2 linked regions of the Bombyx mori genome follow. The protein of the gene in region 2 binds, or shares a complex with, the protein of the main gene of each other region. Links are inferred from orthologs where the notes say so. Each region holds a gene or a part of one and is shown on either strand. Other genes may lie near its edges.

What was found.
Region 1: cytoplasmic FMR1-interacting protein (region 2) and membrane-associated protein Hem share a complex: the UniProt entries of both Drosophila melanogaster proteins name them as parts of the WAVE complex. The link is inferred for Bombyx mori from reciprocal best matches to the Drosophila melanogaster genes Cyfip and Hem.

The regions. Positions count from the first base shown.
Region 1 is NC_085115.1:11,703,896-11,713,135, reverse strand, and holds membrane-associated protein Hem, read left to right. Parts: upstream 1-3,120; 5' UTR 3,121-3,288; intron 3,289-3,520; 5' UTR 3,521-3,524; coding exon 3,525-6,902; 3' UTR 6,903-8,514; downstream 8,515-9,240. UniProt on the Drosophila melanogaster protein: Plays a role during growth of the oocyte.
Region 2 is NC_085117.1:1,820,798-1,829,567, forward strand, and holds part of cytoplasmic FMR1-interacting protein, read right to left. Parts: intron 8,044-8,770; coding exon 7,852-8,043; intron 4,980-7,851; coding exon 4,765-4,979; intron 3,813-4,764; coding exon 3,682-3,812; intron 3,211-3,681; coding exon 3,040-3,210; intron 2,296-3,039; coding exon 2,213-2,295; intron 1,499-2,212; coding exon 1,356-1,498; intron 1,091-1,355; coding exon 917-1,090; intron 1-916. UniProt on the Drosophila melanogaster protein: Plays a role in guidance and morphology of central and peripheral axons and in synaptic morphology. Also required for formation of cell membrane protrusions and for bristle development.

The sequences.
Region 1 (9,240 bases), on a different chromosome or scaffold from region 2:
AACCATCATGAGAAAAATCAGAAAAAAAATCTATCCCATCCAGTTTGGAAATTATGGCCATTAAAAACCTAGAAATTTGGTCAAACTTTAACCATTTTTCGGTTATTGTGGTTAATTTTTGTTATTTTTGTTCATTTAAACTTTGGAACCGTAACCCTACATAACATTTCTAGAACCGCACTCAAAAATAATGACACAACTGCCCCAAGTTTTCTCATATGAAGTCGTCGTCGCCTAAAGGATAAGACGTCCAGTGCATTCGTGTTGAGCGATGCACCGGTGTTCAAATCTCAGGCGGGTACCAATTTTTCTAAAGAAATACGTACTCAACAAATGTTCACGATTGACTTCCACGGTGAAGGAATAACATCGTGTAATAAAAATAAAAGCCGCATAATTATAATTTGCGTAATTACTGGTGTTAGGACCTCTTGTGAATCCGCACGGGTAGGTACCTCCGCCCTGTCTATTTCTGCCCTGAAGCAGTAATGCGTTTCAGTTTGAAGGGCTGGGCAGCCGTTGTAACTATACTCGAGACCTTAGAACTTGTATCTCAAGGTGGGTGGCGCATTTACGTTGTGGATGTCTATGGGCTCCAGTAACCACTTAACACCAGGTGGGCTGTGAGCTCGTCCAACCATCTAAGCCAAAAAAAAAAAGAAAAAAAAAGCCATCATGAGAAAAATCAGAAGAAAAAAATGTGTGTGTGCATGTCACACACATTACGTGTGACACGGTAGAAGTGAAACTTATAAAAATTAAAATAATCGCAAGAATCAACCAACCCGCAGTGCAATGGAGCAGCCTCACCCTGTGGAAACCGCCTGCATAATCACGGTATCCCTACGCCAGGTAAGTATGATTTAGCTTTTTTTTTCCTACCTAAGCTGATAGCCTTGCGAGGCTATTTCAGCAGAACCTTAACTAGTAGGTGAACTCACGGGGCTCAAATCTGACGACGTTGCTAACACGAACTCTAGCAAGAGCCGTGCTTCGCAGAATCTACCACCGGATCGGAAACGCAACCCACTGAGAAGATCCGGCGAGAAACTCAGTGGGCTGTGTCTGAGGGTTAATTTACTCGACGAGCCCTTCCTCGCAAGCGACGGGTTCGACGGGAACGGTGATCGGTGCTTGAGGTACCTAAAAGCACCGTTAGTGGATCGGGAGGATCCGAAATGACGTGTTTGGGGTGATGTCGACTGCTTTCCATTCTTTTGATTTAGCAAGAGAAATACGAGAACATCTATCAACTGTGTGACATCTTATGACCGTGATTCAGGAATTGTTGAATTTACGTGTAGGGACATTTGCTGATAACAAACGCATGGTTACAATCAATCCTGTCACCCCGATTCGGCTAGATGTTGAGTTCTGGGACACTCTGTATATGACACAAACTTCTGTAGACTATACACAAACCATAAACATTTTTTGTACTCCTGTCCTACCTGAAGTCTCAGTAACACACATTACAAGATTTCTCCTCATGTCATCTGATTTTAATGGAATTAAATTCTTTTATTTCATAAAATTTCATCCCTTTTGATTACCATTTACAGATGAAACAACTTCTTTTAGTCCGCTTCATTTCATTCTTCTTGAAAAAAGTTAAATGTGTCACGTTAAAATTGCAGACTATTTATACTCGACGCCAGTAATAATGGTATCGAAAACGTCCTTACGCATTTAACAGATACATTAACTCTAGCATTAAGCCCCTTCAATTCTAATTAGCACTGGGAGCAGCTTAAGTGCTCTACCGACTGGTCAAACTCGGCAGAGAGTTCGGCGTGCAACCCAACCGCCCCAGCCCGCTGAGTTTCTTGTCGAGTCTTCTCAGGGAGCCGCGATTTCAATGCGGTAGTAGATTCATTCGCGAAGTAGTTGTCTTTGATTTGTTAAGTCTCCTCCGGAGGCGCTCGGGCAGCTGTTAGCAAATCCCATCATTCTTGGTTAAGTCTGTGGTCACCCACATGTCTTGGTAAAACTGGAAACGCCTCCGGGCCACCAGTAGTACTTCCTTCCCAAAAAAGGCATCGCAAGAAGGCGATTGCCTTACGGAAAAAATATAGCCGACGAGAGTAGTAATCTGTGTGAGTGAGACAAGATACAATTATAGTGGACTTTTTGGCGGGAACGCGAGGAGTGAAGTTGTGTGATTTGTTTTATTTTGTCTATTTAGTGTTTCTTCAGGTTTAAATGTGTAATAATGGTGGTTTATTAACTGTTTAATATCTGTGAAAGTGCACAAATGTGGGAAAATGAAACAAAGCCGCTGGACGTAACTTCTCGGGATCCTCCAAAAAGTCCACTGAAATAATCTTAGTAAATGACCACCATTTTACTGAGATTATATTTCATCCCATATCATCTCATCTCATTTCATTTAATTTCGTTTAATATCTGTGAAAGTGCACAAATGTGGGAAAATGAAACAAAGCCGCTGGACGTAACTTCTCGGGATCCTCCAAAAAGTCCACTGAAATAATCTTAGTAAATGACCACCATTTTACTGAGATTATATTTCATCCCATATCATCTCATCTCATTTCATTTAATTTCATCCCAGTTGATTAATGTCTCAAAAAAACTTTTTCATTTCATTTCACTGCATAATATCATTTTTCATAAAAATATATTATAAATTAAAATAAGACATGACTTAAAAGTCTTAGTTACCAGGTCATAAAATCCCTTAAAAAAAATACAATTATAGTGGTGACTTTTTGGCGGGAACGCAAGGAGTGAAGTTGTGTGAATTGTTTTATTTTCTCTATTTAATGTTTCTTCAGGTTTATATATTATTATGTAATAATGAAATTAATGAAAATGAAATAAAGCCGCTGGAGGTAACTTCGAGGGATCCTCCAAAAAGTCCACTGAAAAAATTTCAGTAAATGACCACCATTTTACTGAAATTATATTGCATCCCATATCATTTCATTTAATTTCATCCCCGTTATTTAATGTCTCAAGTTAGTCATCTTGATTTCCTTTCACTCCATATTATCAATTTTCATATGTAAAATTAAGAATATAAATTAAAATAAGACATGACCTAAAGGTCTTAGTTACCAGGTCATAAAATCCCTTAAAAATAATCTATGTTAAACAGTCTGTTGTGGTCATAGATTATACACTTAATATGTTGTGGTCTGACACTCCCTAATTTTAATTTATTGAGAGATTTTTTACGTCCAACATAGATAGTTTGAATATAGTGTACACAGAAACATGTGTATTAGTTGACTTCTAGATAAAGTGACTCGCTACATTATTAGCAAGGTACGGCTCGCGCGGTTATTAACATAAAACATTATCTGGTCTTGTTAGATATCTTGACTTAGTAAATCATGATCTCACATCATTGATCATCTTCTCGAATGAATACAGCAACAATTTGTTATTCCCCTTTGAACGGAAATCCTAAGTTGTGTAATTCTAATAGATAGGAAATAACATTATTGTATTATCATTATCTTTCATAGTTGTGAATCCGCGTACCTTTTTATTGCAGAAATATGTCCACATTATCAAGATCCCTGAATATTAGTCAGCAAAAATTAGCTGAGAAGCTAATTATACTGAATGACAGAGGTATTGGTATTTTAACAAGAGTTTACAACATTAAGAAAGCCTGTGGAGATGCCAAATCGAAACCAGCATTTCTATCTGATAAAGCATTGGAGTCATCAATTAAGCACATAGTTAGGAGATTTCCCAACATTGACGTTAAAGGACTCCAAGCAATTACACCAATACGGAATGAAGTAATCAAATCATTGTCGCTATATTATTACACATTTGTAGATTTGTTAGATTTTAAAGACAATGTTTGTGAACTTCTTAACATCATAGATGCATGTCAGGTTACTTTAGACTTGACATTGAATTTTGAATTGACAAAAAACTATCTTGACTTGGTTTTAACATATGTTACACTAATGATATTGTTGTCTCGAGTTGAAGATAGAAAAGCAGTGTTAGGTTTATTTAATGCTGCATATGAATTGCTACAGAATCAAATTGAGAATAGTTTTCCCCGTTTGGGACAGTTGATTGTTGATTATGATGCTCCATTGAAGAAATTGTCTGAAGAATTTGTGCCACATCAAAAAGTACTAGCAAGTGCATTAAATTCTCTATGGCATGTGTATCCAGCTAGAAATCTTTCTGCTGAACATTGGAGATCGGAGCAAAAGCTAAGCTTAGTCAGTAATCCAGCTCAGTTACTGAAACCATCAGAAACAAACACAATGTCTTGTGAGTATGTATCATTGGAGTCTTTGGAGAGGTGGGTCATATTTGGTTTTGCACTCTGTCATCAGATGCTCCAGCAGGACCATGCTAATAAAATGTGGGTCAATGCACTAGAGTCAGGATGGGTTGTGGCATTATTTAGAGATGAAGTGATTTACATTCACAGCTATATACAAGGTTTCTTTGACAGCATAAAAGGCTATGGCAAAAGAATATCTGAAGTAAAAGATTGTTACCATCATGCAGTACAAAAAGCAGGATACAAACACAGAGAGAGGAGAAAATTCTTAAGAACAGCTTTGAAAGAACTGGGTCTAATATTGACTGATCAACCAGGATTATTGGGCCCAAAAGCTCTTTTGATTTTCATTGGCCTCTGCTATGCAAGAGATGAAGTATTTTGGCTGTTGCGACATAATGATAACCCACCACAAAAAGTGAAGGGAAAATCTGCAGAAGATTTGGTAGACCGTCAACTTCCTGAACTTTTGTTCCACATGGAAGAATTAAGAGCATTGGTTCGTAAATATAGTCAGGTAATGCAGAGATACTATGTGCAATACCTTTCAGGCTTTGATGCTGTAGCATTGAACATGATGATTCAGAACTTGAAGGTATGTCCTGAAGACGAAAGTATAATATTATCATCTTTATGTACTACTGCAGCAAATTTGAGTGTCAAACAGGTTGAAGAGAATGAGCCATTTGATTTTCGATCATTCCGTTTAGATTGGTTCAGACTTCAAGCATATACATCTGTTGTCAAAACCCCCTTGAGTCTTGTTGATCAAAGGGAACTGGCTCAGTTTATAGACAAAATGGTATTCCATACTAAAATGGTAGATAACCTTGATGAAATAATGGTTGAAACATCTGATCTGTCAATATTTTGCTTTTACAACAAAATATTTGAAAATCAGTTCCATATGTGTCTTGAGTTCCCTGCACAAAATCGGTATATTATAGCATTCCCGCTTATTTGTAGTCATTTCCAAAATTGTACTCATGAACTATGCCCTGAAGAGAGGCATCACATTCTAGAGAGAAGTTTGTCAGTAGTCAACATATTCTTGGATGAAATGGCAAAAGAAGCAAAAAACATTATCACCACTATATGTGATGAACAGTGTACTATGAGTGATAAATTACTACCCAAACATTGTGCACAAACTATAGCTCATTTAGCTAACAGAAAAAAGAAGGATAAAAATAAGAAAAACACAATTGAAATTGTTAAGCCTGGAGCAGAAAGTTACAGAAAAACCAGAGAAGAATTGACAACCATGGACAAACTTCACATGGCTTTGACAGAATTATGCTATGCTATAAATTATTGTTCCACTGTAAATGTTTGGGAGTATACTTTTGCACCACGAGAGTACTTGCACCAACATTTGGAAACTAGATTCTCTAAGGCCTTGGTTGGCATGGTAATGTTTAACCAAGACACAAGTGAAATTGCTAAGCCTTCTGAGTTGCTTGTTAGTGTTCGTGCATATATGAATGTGCTTCAAACTGTTGAAAATTACGTTCATATTGATATTACACGAGTTTTCAATAATTGTCTTTTACAACAAACTCAAAATATGGATAGTCATAAAGAAAAAACCATTGCATCATTGTATACACAGTGGTACTCTGAGATTTTACTGAGACGGGTCAGTGCTGGTAGTATTTGTTTTTCAATGAGTCAAAAAGCATTTGTTAGTTTGACAGCCGAAGGTGCTATACCCTTCAATGCCGAGGAATATTCTGATATTAATGAGTTGAGGGCATTAGCTGAATTAATTGGGCCCTATGGTATGAAACTGTTAAGTGAAACACTAATGTGGCAAATTGCAAGTCAAGTACAGGAATTGAAGAAACTGGTTGTACAAAATAAAGAGGTGTTGCAGATGCTCAGGACTAATTTTGATAAACCAGAAATTATGAGAGAGCAGTTCAAAAGATTGCAAAATGTGGATAATGTACTACAACGGATGACCATAATTGGAGTCATATTGAGTTTCAGACAAATAGCTCAAGAGTCATTACTAGATGTTTTAGAAAGGCGTATTCCATTTTTGATAAGTTCCATAAAAGACTTCCAGCAACAGCTGCCGAGTGGTGATCCAATGCGAGTCATTTCAGAAATGTGTTCTGCTGCTGGCTTACCGTGCAAAGTGGATCCAACATTGGCATCAGCTTTACGTCAGCAAAAATCAGAAGTTGAGGAGGAAGAGCATTTAATTGTATGCTTGCTAATGGTGTTTGTTGCTGTGTCTTTGCCTAGACTAGCTCGGAGTGAAGTATCTTTCTATCGACCTTCCCTGGAAGGTCATGCTAACAATATACACTGTATAGCTCCAGCTATCAACCACATATTCGGAGCTCTATTCACTATATGCGGCCAGGGCGATATCGAGGATCGAATGAAAGAATTCTTAGCTTTAGCGTCATCATCTTTGCTTCGTTTAGGGCAAGAAACTGATAAAGAAGCTACTAAGAATAGGGAATCAGTTTATCTTCTATTAGACTTGATAGTGCAGGAGTCACCCTTTCTTACAATGGATTTGTTGGAGTCATGTTTTCCATATGTATTGATACGTAATGCTTATCATGAAGTTTATAAACAAGAGCAGATGCTTCTGCATATGTAATTCCATTGTATTTAAAGACAAATTAAGTTTTAGCATTAAGTATTACTGTAATTAGGTTTAAAGATATACTATTAAAATTCAGGGTGTAAGGGATCAGTTTCTGAATCAAAAAGGGCAAGAAACTAGTACCTTAATGGAAATTAAAAACAATAATTATCCACTAAAAACTTAATATAAAGTAAACATCTTGACAAAAGTGCTGGTAGATTTTGACATATCTATATGTAAAGGTGAATATCACAAGAAACACTGTTCCCTTCCATCAGTTTATTTGACTGAAATAGCAGTAAAGGAATAAATGTTTGGATTTTGCACCAGCCTTCGTTTTTGGGAAAGATTCCATACACCCTGTATAAATACAAGCACGGACGCACTTTGAGATTATTGATAAGTACTATTATCCGGTTTTTATTGTGCTTCAGCCTAATTATTTTCACGAAAATCACTTGACATTTAAGACTGGAAAATATTCCTTGTATTGAAAGCTAACATATTTAGAGAATATTTTATTTATTAGCCTTAGGAAGCTAGATATCGATCAGCGAATATTCCACTTATGTTATTAATTTAAGTACCGTTAACTTCTCATGTAAAATTTTCATAAATTTTTAATATGTTTATGTAGCGGTAGTTGCAATGTATTGAATAATTGTAAGAATATTCAGCAAGTCGATATGAGAGGAAAAAATAGTAATGAAGTATATTTGTAAATACATAACAAACTAAACACAAACAGATCATAGGACTATGGTGTAAAATAAAATAATACCAATTCTTGTCTATTCCTTTAAGTACATAGCAAAATTTTCATGACAAAGTTTAAGTTTTATATGGTCAAGAACATGCTTTCTGCCTAATATTAAAAGTAAAATACATACTTATCCTTTTTGATCTCTTCAAGATACACAGAAACTTCCATGATTGCATCGCATGGATAGGCATTAGTCTGTCTATATGTCGACTATATTACATAAGTCTTGGGAAGCGATGTGGCTAGTCAGGAAATTCAGAAATGCAGGAATTTTGGTACATGATTGAGACTTGAATATTTTCTCCAGCTTTCCTGGTTTATTATATATTCTATGCAAGATTACTACTAGTAGGCCTAGGTAATCGACACTCTTGTTTAGTCCTTATAAATTCTAAGTTGATTTATTTTATTCCATAGCAACACAATGGCGATAAGCATTTATAGTATCAAAGAAATTGAAATTGTTGCTTGCAAAAAAAATTAGGAAGCTCGACTGTAGCCATTGTAGTAATTTTTTTAGTTTTAACTTTTAATAGATATATACCTAATGTTTTTGTGCTTTTTATCATAAAATTGTTTTATCTTATTTTTATTCATTGTAATTTACCAAAGTAAAAAAGGCAATTCTAATGTAATGTCAAATGAAATAGTTGAAGATTTAGTTATATAATTGAGCATTCTTTTAGACTTCCTTCAGAATATAAATTATTATCAGAGTAGTAGTACAAAAAGGAAAGATGTAAACCCACTGAAACAGAAATTGTTGACGTTCGATTTTTGTAATATCGTTGATACTTTTGTACCTTATATTTCAATTTATTATTATACTATATAAAAATAAAATATACCGCATATACAAAATAGTTTTATTTCAAATAATTTGTCAAGTATTTTCTTGATCAATAAAGTGAGTTTTGTGCAATTGCTCAAAAATTTTATTTACCCATACGTAGGTATAGTAACCGGCAAACATCTTGAGCAAATGACCTTGACTGCGCAGAACCGAATTTTAGATCACTTTGGTGGTGAGGGTGAGGCGCGACGGCAGGGGAAATCGTATCGAGCGCGTTATTGGTAGATCAGTCGAACCTTGCGCCCCACACCGCGCCCTCATTCCGCTTGCTCCCAAAAGTACGCTTGCGTAGAGTGAAAAGTCTATCGTTATTAATCGTTAAGTTATTTGTTATAATTGCTTGTTAACTTTGTTGCCACTGCTATTTGTTGAGTGTTTGTTGATTTTTTATAAAAAATACACTATGCCGCGACAAACTGGTGTAGTATTCAAAAGAAAGGGTAGAAAAATTGTGTACGACGTAAATTGCTTCATTATAAAACAGGGGAAGAATGATATGGAAAAAGTAAAACAGACTTCGGAAGCAACAAAAACATCAGTGAGTACTGTTAGGTGCATTATTAACGAAGCTAAAGGCTCTGGCTTGCTCGCCGTGTTTGGGACTCCGGGTAAGAAAAGATCAAGGAAGAAGAAAGTTACCGGAATGGATAGTTTCGTTCAATCTGTAATAAAAAGATGTAATCATAATAACTACATAACAAGCAGCGAAACTCCGTACCGTAGAAAGGCTTCGA
Region 2 (8,770 bases):
GTGAGCCGTGAGCTTGTTCACCCGAGTATGCAATTAAAAAACGTTCGAAAAGCATTATAAACGAATCAGATCAGTACATATGAGATTTTGTTTGCATATTTTTTTCATTTATAATTGAAGACATGAGTGGATGAGGGTAGTTACGTAACAAAAATTTGTTGCCCGTTTTCTCAAAATCAACAAATCGTATTATATCTACCTTCAACCGCTCATGTCTTCAATTTATTATGATACATGTCATTAAAATATAATTCAGTTTAACCATTACAAAAACACTTGAAAATAAATAATAGTTTAAAAAAATTAGCAAAATACGTTTTTATACAAAATCCAACTAAAAAATAGAAAATATTTTAATAAATTTAAATTAAAAATAGTGTAAGAAATAATGATTTTATTGTAAAAAAGCGTGGGGTGCATGGTATCAGTAGTTATAAATATTTTATGAACAGATATGAGTAGAAGGGTTATTTTGATAATATCCTGAAAAGCACCCTACACTTTTTTACAATAAAATCATATTTTCTTACACAATTTTTAATTCAAATTTATTAAAATTTATTTTCTATTTTTTAGTTGGATTTTCTATAAAAGCGTATTTTGTTAGTTTTTTTTTACTATTATTTATTTTTCATTTTTTAGTTGAATTTCAATTTTTTCAATATTTTTTTTTTCATATTTTTTTTAAATATTGAATTGTCATCGATCCCTAATAAGTATACCAAATTTCGAGTTAATACGACATTTTGAAGGTAGTCGAAATCATGTTAAAAAATTCAGTTACATACTAACGTACATCTAAAGCTAATTAAAACGTATTAAAAATATATATATCTTATGTTTAGCTCCTAAGTTTTGACCACAAATGACGTAACCCAACCACGGGGGTCCACCCCCCCCCGGTCCCCGCACTGACCTCGCGGCCAGCTGCTTGTAGTACGCGTAGACCTGCTCGGAGAGCTTGTACACGAACTGATCGAAGCAGAGGTTGACTTCCGCCTCCACCTCGTCGTAGAGGAACTGCTTCTTGAAGACGGTCAGCGCGTACTGGGCCGAGTCGTTGTACAGGTCCAGCGGGTACAGGACGTATCTGAGGATATTACACATTAATGTTTTTATTGGGGTACCATTTTTTTTGGTGACAATTTTTTTTTATAAAATATTCCACTTTGAAAAGATAAAAGGAAAGTTAAAAAAATTAAAGAGCTACATAAAAAGATACATTAAAGTAATCAAAAATAATACATAAAAAAGGTAAAGTTAAAAACAGAACTACTTCAAAAAGATTCACTAAAATAATTAAAAATATACACTAAACTACAATACATAAAAAGATACATTGAAAGACCACTAACTCCATCATCGCCGGTTCTTTGGTCCTTAATATGTGCTCGGTCAATATCCATGGCATGGACATCTCGATGGGGAACTGTATCCGCTTCTCCATCGTGACCAGGTCGTTGCACTCCTCGTTGTGCTGATGACGCACCATGCATTTCTGTGAGGGTAGATAGATTTTTTTTAAAATTTTAATTCATACTTTATTGTCCTTCCTAATCCTATATGGCGAATTAACGAAAGGCAACTGTTAGGGTGGCAGTATAACAAGTTTGGTCCATGGACCGCGGTAGTCACTTAAAACCAGATCGGCTGTTTACTCAGAAAACTCAACAGAATGAAGCGGTACTTCACGTTTGTTCAAAGATATTTACTTTACAAAGCACAGAACCAGCCTCGCATGGAGTACTACTCCCATCTGAGGACAGAGGCTCCCAAGCGTCAGCTGAATTCAGCTGTTTCCATTTGACATCCAGAAGAGGATCCTACAGATTGACGATAGCCCTGTTTGAAAAGTCTAGGTCTAACGAAGGGCCTTCGGATTCATTTTTGTGTTCTGTACCGTGGGTACCATGGACAGTGCTCTGAGGATTATTTGAGATGATCCCTCGCATCACCTGTTTCCATCACAGGTGCTCCTACCAGATGCAGAGTTCATCCATACCACCTAAAGCCACTGCGTTCACCCACATTGCGTTTCCAGAGATCTTTTTTGCCTTAGCCTATCTGGCTTAGCTGTGCCCCTGGCATTGCTGAGGTCCAAGAGCGACAGTAGCCACTTATCGTCATGTGGACTCTATACTCGTCTGCCTATAAGAGTAATTAAAAAAAAACAGCAACAAAGTAGGGTAGGTACATAAATACTAATACTCACATTAACTTTCTTTCCCATTGTCATTTCGAGATAAAACTCTCTATACCAGAGTTGAGACAGATCGCAGCACTTCTGCAGGGAATCTGCGAGGACACAATGAATATCAAGCGCGGTACACATACGACTGTAAGCGATCCGCCCTCGAAAACGGCGACACACATTCAACAGAATCACCGTAGAACGTATAACTTAGTGATGTTTTCACGCAGCAAGTAATGTAATGCAAATATAGGTGAACACACGCGGGGTCGACGACCTCGCGTTAGTCCGCTTACATTGCGGGCTGTTTGTGTTCAGTTTATTAGTATCCGGATCAATAAAGGAACATAATTTATTATAGTCAATAATGTCTGACTCAATATGTATGTCAGTCTCTGATACCCATAAATTGGAATCGGAATCACAGTGCGTGATTTGTTTCCAGTTGTTTATTATTTTATTTATAATAATTCTAATTTACTGTTCCAGCGGTAAGTAGATCTTGGAAACGCGCCGGTAGATTTCATTATTACTTGAATATATCCTAAAAATGACTATAGTTTAGATTAAATTTAAATTTAAACTCGAACGAAGTTTTTTTTTTATTGCTTAGATGGGCGAACGAGCTCACAGCCCACCTGGTGTAAAGTGGTTACTGGAGCCCATAGACATCTACAAAATAAATGCTTCACCCACCTTGAGATATAAGTTCTAAAATTTCAGTATAGTTACATATAGATATCCATAATTTTGCAAAATTTTTGGACCAACTACGCTATACAATTTTAAACACACAAATGACGTATCACAAAATGGCGCCATCCTAGAAATACTCAATTTAGACTCACCAGGTAAGTTCAGCAGGTAGGACCAATAAAAGCTGGTTCTGTGGAAGCTTTCGATCTGATGCAGGGTGGCTGCGTCCAGGTCTTTCCGAAGAGTCCGCCGGCCTCCGGACTTGTCCGATATGAGGGCCTCAAGCTGCGTTCTCACCATGTAGAGCTGGGTCGATGAGGGACCTTCGAAGATTTAATTATTGGTGAGTATCAGCATGAGTACCAGCACTCTGCCTACTTCTGCCGCGAAGCTGTCGTCCTTGCCTTTTTGGAAAGTTGACACAACTGCGAAGACTCATGCCTCAAGGCATTCACGACATCTCACTAATATTATATGCGAAATTTTTTACCAGTGGTAAGACCTCTTGTGAGTCCGCACGGGTAGGTACCACCGCCCCGCCTATTTCTGCCGTGAAGCAGTAATGCGTTTCACCAAATGCGCCACCCACCTTGAGATATAAGTTCTAAGGTCTCAAGTATAGTTACAACGGCTGCCCCACCCTTCAAACCGAAGCGGACTCACAAGAGGTCCTACCACCAGTAAAACTGAACCAGTAGTACTGAAACGTCACAATTAACAATAAATCAATTGTTAGTTTTAATTATACCTTGCAATTAAATTTTGCTTAGCACTGTCCCCCGGTCCCCCCTTACCGACATTCCTTCTGGGCACCTTGATGGTGAAGCTGGCTTCGCCGTCCTTCTTCCCCTTGAGCGCCGGGTCCTGCTGAGGCTCGCAGCCGCGCGCCCAGTCACCACACGTCTCCCGAACCGACACTATTATGCTGTGGAAGACTTATAACTGTGTTTCCATACCTATACTCCATTCCAATTAAGAAGTCCCGTTTGACAGATGTTATTATTATTATTAATATTATTTTTCTCTATCTATGCTGATAGCGTTGAGAGGCTATTTCAGCGTAACCTTAACTATAGTAGAATTATTTTTTCCGTGCAGTTTGGGTCATAAAACACAGCCCGGCTAGGGCGGTGAGCATGTTGCGCGGGCGCAACGCCATTATCGATAAAAACAAATGAGTCATCGAAGGCAGGTGGCGGCGGGGTGGTATACGAAGGCTGGTGAGACATTGTTATGTTAAGAGCCATTTGTACTAAACCTGCAAATTATAGTACATTATGTAGAAGAGAAATATGTTTTTATGCATTCGTTCTCTGAATTTCTTTAGTGACACAATGGCTACTCCTTTGTTTTGTATCAAAACGGCAGGATTTATTCAAAATAATATTTGCACGTGTTGTTGTCAACAATGTGTTAAAATTTTTAACTGAAATAAGAATAGATCCCGAAAAGTTACAAAGTGTTAATTTCTGCCGTTCTCGTTAACTTGCTGCGGCGATATGTGGTGTAAGTGTTTGATTAGTGATTTTTTCTTTCATTTTTATCACTAACCCACAAAATGACAAAACTAAATACACTATCGATAACGCTTATCGACAACAGTAATGCGCATCACTATGCCCGTCCATAAGGCTCGTGAGTGGAAGAGAGAGCGAAATATTCGCTTCACCGCTCCGATTTTTCATGACCCAAACTGCACGGACAAAATAATTCTACTATAGTAGGTGAGCTCACGGGGCTCAAACCGGAGTGATGCTAACACTGGCCCTGGCAAGAGCAGTGCTTCGCTGAATCTACCACCAGATCGGAAACGCGACCCACTTAGAAGACAATGACAAGCCAATCCGTTACGCTCAATTGGACTTCAAATGGGGTACCTCCGGATGAGGTCCTTCTTGTTCTTGATGGCCTTCCTCAGGGGCTCCCGCAGGACGAGCTGCACGAAGTCCTGCAGCTCCGCGTATATGGACCTCCTGGCCGCGTCCGCGAACACGGTCTCCATCCGCGCCATCAGGACCTGGAGGCCCTTTATCATCGCGATCACCTCGATCATGGCGAACTTCTCCTCGGACGTGTAGTTGTAACGCGTCGCCTGTGAACACACGGTTTGAGGTCAGGGACGACTCAATATTGAGATCCCCTAAATGGGTACCGGGGCCCGTGGACATCTACAACGTAAATGCGCCACCCAACATGAGATATAAGTTCTAAAGATCTCAGTATGGTTACAACGGCCGCCCCACCCTTTAAACCTACCACCTACCTGGTGGTCCTACCACCAGTAATATTACCTACTACCATCAATATTGAGGTCGCATAAGTGGGTACCGGGGCCCGTGGACATCGTCAACGTGAATACCGTCAACCACATTGAGATAAGAGTTCTAAATTTCAATTCTATGTACTATTCTGTACTTAAATCCAAGATCTTAGAATTCGGTTGCGTCATCACTACCGATGACCATGGACATCAGAAGTGAATGCTACGTTTTAAGATAAAATGCTGTAATATTCTTGAATAACCTGAAATAGCACGATTACTTTATCATGATAAATGACATGCCTTGGGCAAAGTCATATATGTATATAACATGGTATTAGTATTTTATAGTGTTGATGAGATATAGTGCTAGCATAATATAGTGCCGGTATAAAGTAGTGCCGGTATAATAGGGTGCCGGTATAATATTTTTTTTTTATTGCCCTTGTAGGCAGACGAGCATACGGCCCACCTGATGGTGAGTGGTTACCGTCGCCCATGGACTTCAGCAATGCCAGGGGCAGAGCCAAGCCGCTGCCTACCGCTTAATACTCTCCACAAGGCTCGTTTGAAGAAGGACATGTCATAGCGCTCGGGAAACACCGTGGAGGGGAGCTCATTCCAGAGCCGGATGGTACGTGGCAAAAAAGACCTCTGGAAATGCACTGTGGATGACCGCAGTGGCTCCAGGTAGTATGGATGAACTCTACTCCGGTGGCGGGCGGTGCGATGGTAAAAACGAGATGCCGGTATCATCTCGAACAATTCCTCAGAACACTCCCCATGGAACATACGGTACAAAATACAGAGGGAACCGAAGTCCCTCCGCAGACCCAGAGATTCCAAATGATCCGTGAGACCGGGATTATCGACAATCCGAACGGCCCTCCTCTGTATGGAGTCAAATGGAAGAAGCTGGTATTTGGGAGCCCCGGCCCAGAGATGGGAGCAGTACTCCACGCGAGGCCGGACTTGTGCTTTATAAAGCAAAAGCCTTTGTCCAGACGTGAAGTACCGCTTCGCTCTGTTGAGGACTCCCAGCATTTTGGACGCCAACTTGGCTTTGCCTTCCAAATGACTCCGAAATTGGACATCGCTCGAAATGTCGACCCCAAGTATCCCAATACTCTCGGAAGGTTGCAGGGATACTCCAGGATATAGTGCCGGTATAGTATTATTATAGTGCCGGTATAATATAGTGCCGATATAATATAGTACTGGCATAATATAGTGCTGGCATAATATAGTGCTGGTATAATATAGTGCTGGCATAATATAGTGCCAGTATAATATAGTGCCGGTATAATATAGTACTGGCATAATATAGTGCTGGCATAATATAGTGCCAGTATAATATAGTGCTGGCATAATATAGTGCCAGTATAATATAGTGCCGGTATAATATAGTGCCGGTATAATATAGTGCCGGTATAATATAGTGCTGGTATAATATAGTGCTGGCATAATATAGTGCCGGTATAATATAGTGCCGGTATAATATAGTACTGGCATAATATAGTGCTGGCATAATATAGTGCCAGTATAATATAGTGCCGGTATAATATAGTGCCGGTATAATATAGTGCCGGTATAATATAGTGCCGGTATAATATAGTGCCGGTATAATATAGTGCCGGTATAATATAGTGCCGGTATAATATAGTGCCGGTATAATATAGTGCCGGTATAATATAGTGCCGGTATAATATAGTGCCGGTATAATATAGTGCTGGCATAATATAGTGCCGGTATAATATAGTGCCGGTATAATATAGTACTGGCATAATATAGTGCTGGCATAATATAGTGCCAGTATAATATAGTGCCGGTATAATATAGTGCCGGTATAATATAGTGCCGGTATAATATAGTGCCGGTATAATATAGTGCCGGTATAATATAGTGCCGGTATAATATAGTGCCGGTATAATATAGTGCCGGTATAATATAGTGCCGGTATAATATAGTGCCGGTATAATATAGTGCCGGTATAATATAGTGCCGGTATAATATAGTGCCGGTATAATATAGTGCCGGTATAATATAGTGCCGGTATAATATAGTGCCGGTATAATATAGTGCTGGCATAATATAGTGCCGGTATAATATAGTGCCGGTATAATATAGTACTGGCATAATATAGTGCTGGCATAATATAGTGCCAGTATAATATAGTGCCGGTATAATATAGTGCCGGTATAATATAGTGCCGGTATAATATAGTGCCGGTATAATATAGTGCCGGTATAATATAGTGCCGGTATAATATAGTGCCGGTATAATATAGTGCCGGTATAATATAGTGCCGGTATAATATAGTGCCGGTATAATATAGTGCCGGTATAATATAGTGCCGGTATAATATAGTGCCGGTATAATATAGTGCCGGTATAATATAGTGCCGGTATAATATAGTGCCGGTATAATATAGTGCCGGTATAATATAGTGCTGGCATAATATAGTGCCGGTATAATATAGTGCCGGTATAATATAGTACTGGCATAATATAGTGCTGAATAATATAGTGCCAGTATAATATAGTGCCGGTATAATATAGTGCCGGTATAATATAGTGCCGGTATAATATAGTGCCGGTATAATATAGTGCCGGTATAATATAGTGCCGGTATAATATAGTATTAGTATAACTTAGTATAATATAAGCAACGTTTCGTCTCTATTGGACGGACGGACAGAACGCACCCTCTCGTACTCCTCGGCTTCGGGGGGACACCGCGCGTTGATGGTGTGGTCCGTCGGGTGGAGCAGCTTCCACGAGCACAGCTCCGTGAGCACCGAGCACCAGGAGGACAGCAGCTGCAGGCCGCGCAGACAGAGCTCCGTCACCGCCTTGTTCTCGGAGTCCGAACCCGCCTCTTTGAAAGTGGTCGTCACCTGGAACACGCAGACATGGGAATGTTCTTGTTGCCTCACTGTTTTTTTTTTCCTACCTAAGCTGATAGCCTTGATAGGCTATATCAGCGTTGCCTTAACTAGTAGGTGAGCTCACGGGGCTCAAACCTAATGACGTTCCTAACACGAACCCTAGCAAGAGCCGTGCTTCGCAGAATCTACCACCGGCTCGGAAATGCAACCCACTGAGAAGATCCGGCGAGAAATTCAGTGTGCTGTGTCTGAGGGTTAATTTACTCGTCGAGCCCTTCGTCGCAAGCGACGGGTTCGACGAGAATGATGACCGGCCTCACTGATAAGCAGTGGTCGGTGTAGGTATATTGATTTTATATACTTGCGTCAAGATATTATAATATGGACATGCCATTTTATCTATAATGATTATATATAAAACTAAAAATAAAAAAAAAATAATCCTCATCGGATACAATTCGTGTATTTATGAGATAAAGTAACAAAAAGCCGTGTCTAAGTTTTGTCTCATATTGACAAGCGTCATTTCTAATTCAACGGAAAGGGACAAAATACGGTAAATATTCCAAGGTGTTTTTGTATAAAATAAATTACTGATTTCTTTCACCATTAGCTAGCACTGGTAGTGCAGATTAATATTATTAATACGTTTTTCACCTTAAACACAGATTCATGCTAATTTCAAAATTCCGGAACAAATATCAGAATAAATATGAAGTTCCGGTATTTTGGGGGC